Lonchura striata: one gene and its partner. The protein of the gene in region 2 purifies or fractionates together with the protein of the main gene of each other region. This does not show direct contact. Links are inferred from orthologs where the notes say so. Each region holds a gene or a part of one and is shown on either strand. Other genes may lie near its edges.

Region 1 (7,211 bases), on a different chromosome or scaffold from region 2:
AACGGAGACAAGGGCATCAGCGTCACAGCTTTGGGGTAGGCGATGAAAGCCAGCCCGGGACCTGCAGGAGTGTGGGGTCAGAGATGTCACTCAAGGGGTGACACAGAAGACACAGTTGGCACCCACCGCCCATCACTCACCAGACTCGGCCACCATGGAGATGTCCACGCCTTGCTCAGAGGCCATGAAGCCGAGCACAGAGAAGACAACGAAGCCGGCAAAGAAGCTGGTGCAGCTGTTGATCACAGCCAGGATGTAGGCATCCCTGTGGGCACAGCATGTAAGGAAGTGCTGGGGGGCACTGGGGGACACCCCAGGGGGCCACTGGGACACAGCAGGGCGCCTGCCTGCAGCTGGCACAGCCCTACCTGTAGCAGTTGTTGTGGAAGCGGTTGTAGCTGCCCAGTGCAGTCAGGGCACCCAGCCCGATGGCGTAGGAGAAGAACACCTGGGTGCCAGCATCAATCCAGACCTGGGACGTGAGGGAGGATGTCAGGGGGTGATGAGGGTGCCAGGGCGTTGTCCAGCACCCAGCTCCTTGCTGCTCTCCCCGGTGCCCTCACCTGTGCCTCAACCAGCTTGGACCAGTCAGGTTTCAGGTAGTAGATGATGCCACCCAGCGCGCCAGGCAGTGTTACTCCATGGAACAGCAGGAGGATGAGGACCACATACGGGAAGAGTGCCGTGAAGTAGACAATCTGAAGAGCAGTGGGTGGCCATGAGACCCCCCCAGGCCAGAGCTCTCTGTCACATGCCACAGGTGTCCCAGCAGGACCAGAGGTTGGGAATGTCCCCAGCAGCTGGAAGCACCTCCTGGACAAATGTGGGACACAGGCCTCCCACCCCTGTGGGCTGTGGCACAGGAGGGCAGGAGCCAGCAGTGCCATGTGTTGCAGTCTTCTCTCATGCCTGTGGCCCTGATGCATGTTCCCCCCGCCAGCATTACCTTCCCAGTCGACTTGACACCCTTCCAGATGCAGAAGTAGACAACGATCCAGGTGGTAACCAAGCAGATGATCATCTGCCAGTTCATCTCCCCTGGCTCGCTGAGGCCCCCAGAGAGACGCAGCACCTTGTTCCTGCAGAGCGGGGCTGTGCTGAGCACCAGCAGACACCCCCAGCCCCAGACAACACCCTCCTGGTTCCCACACTCACTCCCAAAACTCAATGACAGGTGAGCGCTTGTTGGACATGTCGGTGCAGCTGAAGTTGGAGGTCCAAGTGATGGCAGTGGCATTCGTGCTGACATTGTGGCACAAGTCCGGGTTGAAGAGCTCCGTGCACTGCTCCGTGTTCCAGGAGTGGCCACAGGTGGCCCAGGGCAGGGTGTTTGTCAGCGAATGCACCAGGTAAAAGAGCCCCCACACCAAGATCATGATGTAGTAGGAGTTGCAGAAGAAGACGATCACCATAGAGGCCAGGCCTAAACCTGTGGCACGGGGGGATCAGAGCCCGCAGGCACCTGTGGGCATCTACCACCAGCATGGAGTGGGATGCGGGGTGTTGTAGGGATGGGGGAGGACAGAGGAGAACTGACAGGGACAGGACAGGGAAAGCTGGCAGCCCTGGACAGGACACGGGAGAGCTGGTGGGAATGGGACAGGGAAGCTGGCAGGCCCAGGCAGGACAGGACAGGGTGGGGACAGCTGGTAGCATGGCACAGGACCAGGGGGGAGCCGGCAAGATACCTCTGGAGGTGGGGATCCAGCAGCTGCCTGGGATCCAGCAGCATGCAGGCAAGGAGCCACAGGGGCAGGCAAGGCAGGCAGGGCAGCACAGGGTGCCACGGGGCACAGGTGCAGGCAGCTGCCATCCTTGGCCACGGCACTGGCGGCAGTGGGACGCGGGCAAGGTGCAGGGGAGCAGGCAGGGCGTGGGCAGGGTGCTGCCAGCCCCAGCAGGCTCGTGCAGCCGAGGCACAGTCAGGGTGCAGACAGGGTGCCGGGGGCCCTGGGCAGGGTGCAGGGGCTGCGGAAAGGGTGCAGGCAGGGTGCGGGCAGGGCGCGGCGTTACCCTTGAAGAGGGGGGCGATGTTCCAGGCGGCGATGCCCCCCTGCTTCATGAACTGTCCCAGAGCCACCTCCAAGAAGAAGATGGGGATGCCGCCCACGAAGACGATGAGCAGGTAGGGGATGAGGAAGACGCCTGGGGCCGGGGGCAGGGGGCCGGCTCAGCCGCCGCCGTCCCCCCGGCCCCCCCTTTTGCTCCCCCCTTCCCCGCGCCGCCCGCCCGGACGCAGCGAATGGCAAAGGCGCCTCCGCGCCCTCCCCTCCCGCGATGTAGGTCAGCACGGGCAGGTGCTGGGGGGCTCCCACGACCCCCCGCCCCGTGAGTGACTCCGGAACCCCGCGGGGTGGCCCACGAGCCCCTCGAAGGCTCAGGGCGAGCCGACCCAGCGTGGGGTGACCCCCAGGCACACACTCTGGGGCGGCAGGGGGTGCCCCCCACGCCGCGGGGCGCACTCCCGCGGCGTGGGGCGAGCACGAGCCTCACCTCCGCCGTTCTTGTAGCACAGGTAGGGGAAGCGCCAGACGTTGCCCAGCCCCACGGCGAAGCCCACGCAGGACATGATGAAATCCATCTGCCGGGTCCATGTCTCCCGTTCGGGGACGGCCTCTTTGGGGGGACCGGGGGGTCGCACCAGCGGTGCCGTCACTGTTCGCTCCTCGCCCGCCGTGGGGGGCTCTGTGCCCTCCGCCCCGCCGGAGCCTTCTGCCGAGACGGGGGGAGTGGGGATGCCCACGCCGCCGTCACGCGCGCCCGTGGGGGCGCGGGGGGGGGAAGCACCGCCCCCCACGCGCGCCCCTCTCCGCGCGTAGGGGCGTGACGTCAGATGTCAGGCCGGCGCGTGACGTCACAATGCAGAGCGGTGACTCACCCCGCGGCGGCGGGAGGGGGCGCGCCGCGGTCGCGCGTGGCCGTGGGCCCCCCTCTTCCCCTCCCCACGCTCATCCCTCCCCGGCGCTCCCCGCTTACCGGAGCCCGCGGGGGCAGCGGCGGCCGCGGCTGTGGTGGCGGCGGCGTCGCGTCGCGGGGCGTCGGGCGGCTGCGGGGCGGCCGTGTCGGTGGGAACGGGGGGCATGTCGCGGGGGGCCGGGGAGCGGGGGCGGGTCGGGGGCGGCTCCGTGGCCGAGGGGGGCTCAGAAGCAATCCACGAAGCACTTGAAGGTGAGTCGGAAGAACCTCATTGAGGGCGGCGGGGCGCGGCGGGGCGGGCCGGGCCGGGCGGGCGGCTCAGAGCCGGGCTGCGGGGCCGGCGCCGCGCGGCCGCTCCGGGGCTCTCTGCGCCGCGGCACCGGGCGGCGGCGGAGGCAGCGACCGGCCGCACCGCCCCCCGAGCCCCATTGGCCGCGCCGCCCGCCCGCGGCTTGACGGGACTTGCAGTTCCGACGCACTGGCACCGGCCCCGGGGCGAGGCGGGGGGCACGGCGGGACAAGGCGCACCCGGCGGGATTGCGGGCACTACGGACCGCGAGGGACGGCGTTGGCAACGGGGGACACCGGGCACGGGAGACACAAGGCAGCAGGGCACACCCGGGGACACCAGGGAGCGAGCGCTAGGGTCAGCAGGTGACAGCGGCAGACAAGGCACTTCAGCGCGTAACAGGCGCTAGAACTCCGGGACTTGCACATCTCGCCCCACCAGCAACAGGGCACAGGATAAGACACGAGGGACTAAAGCCACACGATTTGCACCAGGGGACACCAGACAACAGGGTGCTGCCAGCAGCAGAGCACACGGGGCAGCAGGCACCACAGAACACCGTGTCCCCCACCCGGCAATGGCATCGGTCCGAGGGATATTGGGGAATAGCAAGCACCAAGTCACACTAGGGAACACTGGAGCACGAGGGCACCCGGGGCAGCAGCGTGCTGGGAGTCCTAACAGCACACTGGGGACATGGTGCCCCGACGCACCAGGCAGAGGGTCCAAGGGATAGCAGGCAGCAGAGGCGAGTGGAGTTCAGAGAGTTTAATGAGCGCAGGACAAACCCCGATTCCCCCATCCCCCCACCCCCCAGTGCCTGGCCCACACTCCCAGGCCAGGCCCCCCATGACACCCTAGTCGACTTCTTCCATGCTGCTGTAGGAGGGGGCTGGGCACTCGGCGGGGCTGGCAAAACGCTCGGGGAGGCCTTCCGCAGCCAGCGGCGGGGCTCCTTCGGGGGCCAGGCCGGATCCGAACGGCACCGGGGGCAGACCCTGCAAGCAGAAGGTGGGCATGAGAGGGAGACTTGCACCCTGCCCACCCATCTCCCTCCCTTGCTCCTGAGGGGCTGGAGAGGTGCCCGGGGGGACAGCCCCACATACAGAATGTGCAGCCCCTGGGCTTAGAGAGCAGCAGCTGGTGGCAAGCCCCACGCAGGGCAGAGGGAAGCAGCGTGCCCAGGGCCGCTGGAGGCAGCCCCTCCGGCCCTGCAGCAGAGCCAGGCCGCAGCACACTCCTGCCCCAGGGCTGCTCAGCCACTGGCGGTCGGAGCGGAGCCCTGCACCCAGCACGGGCAGCAGGGACAGGCCACGGGCACGCTGCCAGTGCCTGCCGGAGGTCTGAGGAACACAGCAGGGCCAGAGGGGATTTCCAGGGCTGAGAGCACCTTGTCAGGCCTAGCTGCCGGCCACCCACCGCCAATGAGGGCAGGTAGGTGCAGGCAGCAGCTTGTGGGCCCCAACCCTGGGGTGCCAGCACCAGTCGGAGCAGAGGTCAGCCCACCGGCGCCGGGCACTGACTCAGACCCACGAGGCCAGCACTGTGGGTGAGCGGGGGAAGCTGCTGAGACCCAGGGCTGTAGACAATGAGGCAACTGTTCCAGGACAGGCACCTCATGACCACGGCACAGCCCTGACGGGCTCCCCGGCTGGGACGTGCTTGGGAGGGGAGTAAACCTCAGCACGTGGAAGAGGGACAGAGGTAGGGGGAGTCCAGCTCAGCCTCCAGCCTAAAATGCAAACAAACCCCTTCACTGCAAAAACATCCTTCCCGGGCCAGCTGAGGGCACTGCCAGCAGAACAGCAGTGGAGATGGAAAAGAAAGTCACAGGGCTCTGAAGTCACCTCTCACACCCAAATATGCCAGAGCTGTGTGAGCCACGCTCAGCCAAGGGCAACACGTCTCAATGTCAGACACGGTTGGAGTAGCAGCCTGTGCTCCAGCCTCAGGGGACTGCCTGCTCCTGGCCCTGCTGGTCTCCCTACGCCCTGCACGTGTCCCGTGAGGCTCTCACTCTGCAGCTGGGACTAGAGCCCAGCCTGTGCCCCATGGCATGAGCAGGCAGAGCTCTCCCCTGAGCCTGCTGCCACACAGGGTGCACCAGACACCCAGCAAAGCCCAAGAGATGGTCCTGGTGCCAGCTGGGTCACAGAGCGGCCTCAGGTGACCCCAGTGTGGAGTCCTCGCCTCTGTGTGGGAGTCCCAGCACACAGGACAGGAATGCTGCAATTCTTTGGAAAACCTGGCTTTATTAATGTACCATGGTCATATCTATGTTCCCTCCATGCCTCTCCCACAGCAGGGGCAGCTGGTACCCTCGCAAATGAGGTGTTGCATCACACTGCCATGAAGAGACAACTCCCCCAGATGCTGTCAGCACACAGCCCCACGGACTGGTGGGAGGCAGTGACCCACAGAGATGAGTGCTCACCATGGGCACCTCAGTCTGGATTGCCAGGCTCCCCAACAGCTGTCTGGGGCTCAGCAAGGAAGCACACAAGTCCTTGGTGACAAGCCCCAGCACAGGAGCGCAGCAGACACACTCCCAGCGCACAGGCAGCTAGCTGGCACCAAAAGGCTCAGCAGAAGGCTAGCAGGGCAGACTGGGCTGGCCAAGGACCGTGGGTAGCCCCAGCCCCAGGGGAGCTCAAGGCTCGTGCAGCAGCACAGCTGAGACAGGTGGCCAAGCCAGGGCCCGTGTCAGGGCATCCTGCCCTTGCTGCAGCCTCCCGGCAGGTCTCCACTTCTTTCTTGGGAGCCAAGCAGAGATGGTTGATGTGCCCACAGGGCTCTCAGGCCCCAGCAACTCTGCAGCAGCAACGTCTCTTCTTGAGCAGCAGGTAGCCTTGAGGCCTGCCCCACTCCCAGTGGGCAGCAAGGAAGGGCAAAGGAGTTTCTGGTTCTGGGCTGTGCTTTGGCAAGGTAGTAGGCTGGCCACACAGGCCTGCCAGCTGGCACAGGAGATGCCAGGGCAGACAGACAGGAGCCGACAGCCCCATGTTTCCCTTGGCGAGTCTTTCCCAGCGATTTCTGTCCTGCTGCCTCATGTCTTCGTCTCACAGCGTCCTAGGACGGCGCGTGCCCTGGCGGCCCTGCTCCCGCAGCTGGCCACGCGCCTGGGCCTATCTCCAGCGGGGCTGGTAAATGAGCGGGTAGAAGACGTTCAGGAAGAGAGCCACAATTGCAGCTGTGGTGGCCAGGACAAAGTATCTGATGCAGCCTTCATCTGGGTGGTGGGGGGTGCCCGGAGTTCGCTTCTGGCCACAGGGCCTCCAAGAGTTTCTTGCAGGCCTTTGGGGTGCCTCAAGCTGCAGCTCTTGTTCTTCAGCCTCCAGTTCCTGCCAGATCAGAGAAGCCTGCGATGTGGAAACCTGCGTCAGCACTTGGAGAACACAACGGGCAACACCCCTTGCCATCCCCCGGGGCAGGCAGCTGCCTGCAAGCCCAGCCCCGTGCCCAGCCAGCCAGCCCGCCTCCCCATGCAGCACCGTTGTGGTCACGCCCGCCCCCGCAGCTCTTCAGGGTCTCTGGTGTGTGGAGCTCCGGTGGGTGGCTTTGTGGGAAGGAGCGTGGGCAGCTGCGGGGCAGGGTCTTCACGGGACTGCAGGGAGTGAAGCCAGCAGCTGGATCCCGATGGAGCAGATGCACTTGCATTGGTGGATCCAGGAGGCAAGGGAGCAGGCAGCAGCCAGTCACAGCCCAGCTTCTGTGATCCCGACAGGATCTTTCAAATGACAGCCAATCCAGAGCCAGCTGGAGCAGCAGGAGCAGGAGGCACAGTGCCAGTACAGCCAGTCACAGCTCTGCTTTGGTGGGTAGGAATGCTCTGACAACCAATTGTAGCCCAGGTTCCAGAAGGATTTTCCACAGGCAGCCAGCCACGGCTTGGCCCTTCATGTCGGTGATCGCGCAGAGAAGCCAGTCAGGGAGCAGGTCTCTGGAGGGCACCGAGTGCCACGGAGGGTGCAGGTGGTCCAGGGTGCTTGGGGACCTGCTGAGCCCC
Region 2 (7,543 bases):
TTTGATTTTGTTAGCATGGTTTGAAGTGTGCAGGATGAAGCTGAAGGTTGTAGTGTGCATTTTTAAGAGTAAGAATTTATACGATAACGTGATTACAAACCAGTAACTCCAGTAAAGCACATATTAAACTCAATTGTGAAATGACTAGTGGCAGAAGCTGTCAAAAGAAACTATGACAAAACAGACAGCTTGTAAGAATGAGTAAAATTTGCTACAGCTTGAAATTTGAATAAACAAACTGAAAATACACAAATTTATAGTAACCTCAGTGAATAACAAAAGCTATCAAAATACAAAGTGAGGATTTTAGGGCAGTCACACCAGCACCCTCTTGCAAAGGGGTGTTGAAGCAATATGTATTTAATACAGTGAATACAACAGTCTGGTATGTGTATGCGGACCAGGGAAACAAAGACAGGAGACCTAGAACACAGTGATGGACTTTAGGCTATCACAGTGAGATAACAGCACAGTACACAACCCCTGGGAAAAAAAACTGTTACTGTTGTAGTTCCCTAAAGGGAAATGACTCAAGAAACTAACTTAGGGCTTTCAAGTAATACCTACATGTTGTTTCTTCAGGGACTATATAAAGATGCACAGGACAGTAACCTACACTGCCAAGCAGCAGAACAGCTTAGGAACAAACAACTGTCTCTCGTCTTTGTCTTCCAAAAGAGAGATTATCAATAAACCATAACCATCATCATACCACTAATGGACCTGCCTCTTTCGCTTATAAAATGACACAGAACATGGCTACATTGTAGCAAATATGCTGAAGATTTCCAAGTATTTGTGTAAAAGTGGATGAGGAGAATGCCAAACCAATGGAGAAAGACAAAACAGAACTTTGAATCATTAATTCAAAATCACAATGCCTTAGGAGCTGTCCCTGAAAGTATTGGCTTCCATGAGAAATCAGAGCCCCAGTGTGCTAAAATTAGCAAATCAGCCACTGAATTCTTCATCTCCTGTTTTTTGCCAAGCCATCTATCAGCATCAGTAACCTACTAGTGCGTGATAAAACAGCAGGTAACAATCACATCAGAAGGCCTTTTTAATCCTCGTGACCAGGTGTACAAAAATCAAGTATGCCTTGAACCTTAGGGTTACAGACACCATGCACTGACACAGCAATTTTCTCCAAAAATTCAACAGAGTGACTACCTATATATTGTTCTCTTCAGAGGTCTCTATAAAAATGAAAAGCAATGGTTATAAGTTAAACTATTTTATTCTTGCATGTTAAAGATAAAAATAAAATATGAAAATAAAAATGCAGAAATAACACAAAAAAGAAAATCCAGTAATATCAATGAGACTCATTAATTAGATCTATTTTCAGACTTTTAATAACCACAATAACTTAAAATATGAAGAGATCTTTTTATGAGGTATGAAACTTAGAAATTATGCTGTACCTTTTATGAAACTGCTGCAAACTCTTAGTAAATACTACATGGATCAGCATTTGCTGGGACACAATTCCAGTACATGTGAAGCTCATTAATGCTCTGTTGTGCTATATTGACCCAGGCCCTCTGTAATGCCTCAGCAAAAGCAAAGGGTGTAAGGAAAGCAAGCAAGTTTACCAGCATAGTGAGCTTACCTCTATACCGAAAACTCTCTTCAGCACATTCCTTGAGGAGTCTTCTTTCCTCCTCTGTTGGAACATAAGGCTTTGGTACTTCCCTCTTTCATTAGGAAAAGTAATTAGAAAAGAATGGACAAAACAGTTAGGGGGCATTTTTCAATCAATAAACTTAATGTCTAACTTTCATACCTTGTAGTTTCTACACTTTCACCCTGTTATACTTAAGAAACCAGTGCCTTTTGTCCATAAATGTTACATGAAATATGTAATTAAAAAAAAAATCCATTGCTTCTAAAAATTATAGGAGAGAGCAGGAAATACTTTGTGCATAGTCAGATCCCAACTTAGCTCAGTCCTTTTACTTCAGAAAAGCCTGCTTTGGTCCCTCTAACCAGCCTTCCAAATAGCTGACATCTGACAGACCATTAATCGCCTTTTCGAAGTATTCCTCATGGTTTCAAGGACAACAGGGTGTGTTGTTGGTTTACACAGACGCAATTCAGCGAGAGCTGACCTGCTGTTTCACCAGTGTGTGAGAGGTTTGTGTGGAGGTGCTGACCCTGTCCCGCCAGGCACACTGCCAGCCAGGAGAAGCACAGCGGTGAGAAGGCCATTGGCACCAGGGGGACAGAGAGTTGCAGAATCAGTTGGGTTGGAAAAGACTTTTGAGGTCATCCAGGACTGAACACCACTTCCAACTGAATAGTAGCACTAAGTGCCATGTCCAGTCTTTCCTAAAACACCACTAGGGACGGTGACTCCAGAACCTACCTGAGCAGTCCATTCCAAATCTAACGACCCTTCCTGTGAAGAAATTCCGTCTAATGTCTAATCTAAATCTCCCCTAGTACAGCTTAATGCTGTGCTCTCTTGTCATATCGCTGGTTGCCTGGGAGAAGAGGCCGATCCCCACCTGGTTACAAGCTCCTTTCAACCAGTTGTAGACAGTGATAAGGTCTCCCTGAGGCTCCTTTTCTGCAGGATAAACAACCCCAGCTCCCACAGCCACTCCTCATAAGACTTGTACGCCAGACCCCTCACGAGGCTGCCCTTCTCTGGACATGTTCCAGCACTTCAGCGCCCTTCCTGAACCGAGTGGCCCAAATCTGAACGCGATACTTGAGGTATGGCCTCACCACTGCCGAGTAGAGGGGGATGGTGACTTCCCTGCTCCTGCAGGCCACACTATTCCTGATACAGGCCAAGATGCCACCTCGATGTCTCACGGTCAGACAGGAACACCTCCTTACCTCCTGCCAGGATCCCCCACCCGGCCCCCAAGAGGCCTCAAGGGCACCGGCCCGGCGTGGAGCTCAGGGCAGGGGCGGCCGAGAGGCCGACAGGACTCCCCTTTCCCGAGCCCGCCCGGCCCCGCCAGGTTTCCCCGCGGAGCGAGCCGAGCCAGCGCAGTTACCTGGGCCGCGTCGCCGCCGGGGCCGGGCCCGGGGCCCTGCCCGGCCTCCATGGCCGCCGCGACCCGGAAGTGCGCGCGGCGCACGCCGGGCGCGGTGCGCGTGCGCGGGCGCCGCGGGGCGGCGGCACCGCCGGCGCTGGGCGCGGGCCGCGCTCTCGGGAACGGCAAAAGCTTCTGTCCGTCCCTGCCGGCTCCGGATGGCGGTACGGTACCCCCAGCATTGCTACCCGCTTGCTGAAGATGCTTGGCCAGAATTGCCTAGAAGGAAAGCATCTCTGTTGCCTAAAAAAAGAGGTTTTCTGGGTGAGGACTAAGCGATGGCTGCTGGGCAACTCTTGAGCTCGAGAGCAGTATAAATTTGAATTGTCATGGAGTAGAAGACTAGGGAGTTGTGTGCTTGATTCTAGTCAATGCCATGGCAGCTCTAGCGGGTGCCTGCAGTTTTTGAGAAATAAGGAGAAGCTGAGGGGGAAAAGAAAGGTTTTCATAGTGCAAGGTATGCCTTGACATGTTCTTGTAAACAAGCAGTACTGTGGCTTGAGCTCGCCATATGCCGATATGCCCATACTTGCCTGTGGAATGTACCACTCCCTTTAAGCCTTTTGCAGAGCAAGCCATTGTCTCTTTACCCCAGAATCTGGTTTAAATTGCAGCTTTCTGATGGCTGTACATAAAGGGCCCATGCCTGAAGATAGGAGAAGGAAGGTCTTTGAGATTGAAGGTCTGAAATTGGTAGAGAACTATAAAAGGAACACTGTGAACATGTGAAGGGCATAGGGCAAATAGACTAATGAAAGCTATAGAGGAGATAGGATTCTTGAAACAAGATAGGTGAATAGAACCAGAAACTATGTATACTGGGGTTCTTTTATTCATACCTCTTATCATAAAATACATATATTTTTAATTTATTTTTGTGGGGTTGGCCATGCTTGAGCTGCTGATGACTCTGAGCTGCTGTTTTGCTCCTCTCTTGTAAGATTGATAGTTATCCATTCAGTTTTCTCACTTTACTGTATTCAAGTCTCTTAGACTTCTAATGGGGAAAAAACTAAAATCATGCAGCAGACTGGTGAGTTTACCATCCATTCAAAAATATTGTACAGCCTGCTTGTGAGGTACTTTAAGGTTTCACCTGGCTACATACATCCATTTGCTGGCTTAGAACTTCAGTTGTAGAGCCATACATGAAATAGATTGTAGGGCATATCTACATCCTTGGGACTTCATTCTCTGTACTCAAGACCTGTTTTTGGAGTTCATTCATTGAAATAAATGTTAACAAGGACACCCTTTCTGACCCTCTGGTCTTTTTTTTACAGCTTCCTTTATAATCATGCTATCTTTCATGTAACTAAGAGAACTTCAGTTTACAATTGGTGATTGCATCACCAAGTCCTTCTGATAAACATGAAATGTTGTTCTCTTGCAAGGCTTAAGGCTAGATATTTAACCCGTTTCTTGAATACTGTTTTCTCTAGTTTCTGCTTTAACAGGTGCCATTATGCAATATGCCAATTTTTGTTTACAAATCTATGCACTAGAGTATTTTTTAAGGTAAAAACTCTCAGGGATCTTGAACTGTTTGTTTTACCAATAGGCACAATGGTGCTTTGACACTTCAGCAGATGTTTTATCGTTGCTGTTTTGTATTGTTTTAAACACAAAAATAATAGATTATTTGTAATATCATAAAGTTATATATTTTTAGGCCACTTTATGAGTCAAAATTATTTTTAGAAGTATTACAACTCACGTATCTATGCCTCTTAAACTTTTTCTCCTTTATGACTTAGTATTATGCAAGAATGAAGAATATATTTGAGATTCAAAATACTGTAATAAAAAACTTCATAATTAACCTTTAGAAATTGGAATTTATTTCTTGTGAAGGAGATGCCTCGAAAGAAAAATGAAAACTTTAAAATCACGAGATTCTTTTAAAACGAGCTGATTACTTAGGTTAACAAGTCGGAAAGTGTGAAAATCACATGGTTTCTAATAGCAGTACTTTGCAAAGCAAAGTGGTGAATATTCAGAACTCTTGAAGATGGAACTCCAAGAATTATTAGGGTGAGCTCTGTGCAGTCTGTCAAGTGGTTTAAAAGTTTCTGTTTTTGCTAAATTTTTTTCATTCCCTTGTTAACAGTCAGTGAGAGGTTTTATATAACTCCACTGCAAAACAAAGAGGTGGCCTAACAAGTTTTACAATGCTGTATAAGACATAACTGAAACTATTAGATATATGAAATAGTTGTAGTAAACGCTGATCTGGTAAGGAAACTCTCTAAAACAAGTACTGGAAGTGTATGTACTCAATTACAAAGAACAATGTGAATGGTGATTTTTTTTTTTGTTGGTTTTTTTTTTTTTTGCTTGGTGTACTGGACAATACAGTAAAATGCAACAGCTGAGAGATTCTGGTGGCTGCCAAGAGTTAACAGGACTGTATTTGGAAAAATATCTCCCTAATGAGGAAATAACAGTGCCTCATACCAAAAAAAAAAAAAAAAAATCATTGTTGTAACTACTGCAACTGGTGGCAAACAAAGAATCAGTTATTTGCCTGAAGCATTATGGCACATCAGCAAGAACCAAGAGTGGGTGTCTTTGAGGAGCTGATAGTCAAAGCCTCAATTAGTAAGGACTTTACCTGTATAGATAATGATTTCCATTAATATTAACTGGTACTGTAATGTATTTTGAAAATTATTTTACATGTTAGCTGATCCTTAGAGCTATTTTGTAAAGTTGGCATGTAAAGGAGCATTTGGGTTCTGAAAGTGATTGTACATCCTGTGAAGTTCAGGTGCTCAGGGTTAAATACCAGTGATCTGATTTTCATTGGTGGTGAGGTTCTGCTGCTTTTATCTGTTATCTGCATTTATTGGGAAGATCACTGTGGCCCTAACTCAGAATAACTTCAAAATCAGAAGCAACTTGTGACATACTTTGTTCAATCAATTGTGTGAAATGATGCACAACACCAGTAGCAATGAATCCTTTTTGTCCTGTTAGGTGCTCTATCACCCATGCTTGGACTGTAGTACAATTGTAAAAAGTACTCCACAAAATTCTTAGATATACAGGGAAGACTTAAGCTCAGCTACCAGGATACCTTTTTCTTCCTCTCCTGCTTTCTTTTCCTACTGGTTTCTGCAAGTTGATGTACATCATGTGTCTTAAGGGTATGCAGCACATGGACACAAGTAGTTGAGCATGGAGGGGCTTTTACTGCAAATAAACTATAATTGTACCAAGTGTGGTACAGAACTTTGAACTTCTAATAGAAAATTTTACAACTGTTGTGCTGGTGCATTTGTTCTTTGTACTTTTCCCTCAGTTCCACTTTTCTTGGCAATGCTTATTATAATACAGTACTTGAATGACAGGCTTATGTTTGACAGTGGGAAAATGTTGACTTCAGGATTCTTTCTAATAATGTTTTGCAAATCTTGTGTTATTTTGTCACACTTGACATGTATTTATTTTTCTTTCTTTCCCCCCACCCCGTTGTTGGTTTTTTTTTTTTTTTTTTTTAAAGCCTGGACGCTTTGAGGCACTTTAACAAAAAATATAGTTACTTTTTAACCTGTTAAAATGTTAATGTTGGTACTGTTGTGTTAACATTGGCTCCCTGATCTTTGCATTTTTTAGAAATACATTGTTATTTCCAACCACCAGACTTGTTGTATTAGTGAAATCCCGGCTAGTCCCAGTATCGGCTCAGTTTTCTGAGGATGATAATAATAATTATCTTACTACTCCGACTCACTGTTAGTGCGTTGCGATAAACCTTGGAGCCTGGCGCCTGCGGAGCTACATGAAATCAAAGCGAATATCCAATAGCCAGAGCAGTGCAAGTGCTTTATATGCCACGCCGGGGTGGCGGCAGCTTGCCCTGCCCTGCCCCGCAGGCTTCCTGGGAGCCAGGCTGCTTCTGCGAGGGAAGCCCGCCGATTCGTCTTGGAAGAACAACGCCAGTAATTCCTGGCAAAAAAAAAAAAAAAAATTCAATTGTGCAGCTGGCCGAGACACAAGTATTTGCCCTTATTCGCTGGGGGGAAGGGCGGATTTTCCGACCGCTTCCTGCGGGCGAGAGGAGCGCGCTGACGGCACGGGCCCGGCGCGGCGGGACCTCTGCGGGGCCGCACCGCCTCAGCAGCCAGGACACTTCCTTGATGTTTCCCAGCGACGCCGCTGCGTGCCCAGAAAGCCGTTTGATTCCCGGCTACCTTGATGACACCGGCCTTCCTAACGGCGGCGATCGGTCCTGCTCTGTCCGGGGGCGCGGAGACATGCTGGGCCGCCCTGCCCGCCGGCCCGGCCCGGCGCGGGGCTGCGCGGAGCCGGGCCGGAGCGCTGCCCGGGCGGCCCGAGGGGAGCGGCGCCCGGAGCGCTGCGGGGGCGGGACCAGCCGCCGCCCCGGCCTATCACAGCCACGGGAAGCGGGAGGGGGTCGGGGGCATCGCCAATCGGGGCTCGGCTCGCCCCTCGCTGCGTCGCGATTGGCCGCGGTGCGGAGGGGCGGT

Evidence for each region. Proteins that work in one complex are often made in the same cells at the same time.
Region 1: the proteins of OCIAD1 (region 2) and SLC6A8 purify together in Homo sapiens (co-immunoprecipitation; 3 studies listed by BioGRID and IntAct, with this or other methods). This does not show direct contact. The link is inferred for Lonchura striata from reciprocal best matches to the Homo sapiens genes OCIAD1 and SLC6A8.

Annotation. Positions count from the first base shown.
Region 1 is NC_134614.1:15,520,694-15,527,904, reverse strand, and holds the start of SLC6A8 (sodium- and chloride-dependent creatine transporter 1), read right to left. Parts: upstream 3,083-7,211; coding exon 2,977-3,082; intron 2,713-2,976; coding exon 2,494-2,712; intron 2,146-2,493; coding exon 2,014-2,145; intron 1,430-2,013; coding exon 1,156-1,429; intron 1,080-1,155; coding exon 947-1,079; intron 699-946; coding exon 564-698; intron 473-563; coding exon 369-472; intron 266-368; coding exon 141-265; intron 62-140; coding exon 1-61. Other genes in the region: USP19 (ubiquitin carboxyl-terminal hydrolase 19), read right to left, coding at 4,063-4,203. UniProt on the Homo sapiens protein: Creatine:sodium symporter which mediates the uptake of creatine. Plays an important role in supplying creatine to the brain via the blood-brain barrier.
Region 2 is NC_134606.1:26,071,690-26,079,232, reverse strand, and holds the start of OCIAD1 (OCIA domain-containing protein 1), read right to left. Parts: upstream 3,091-7,543; 5' UTR 3,063-3,090; coding exon 3,012-3,062; intron 1,698-3,011; coding exon 1,613-1,697; intron 1-1,612. UniProt on the Homo sapiens protein: Maintains stem cell potency. Increases STAT3 phosphorylation and controls ERK phosphorylation. May act as a scaffold, increasing STAT3 recruitment onto endosomes. Involved in integrin-mediated cancer cell adhesion and colony formation in ovarian cancer.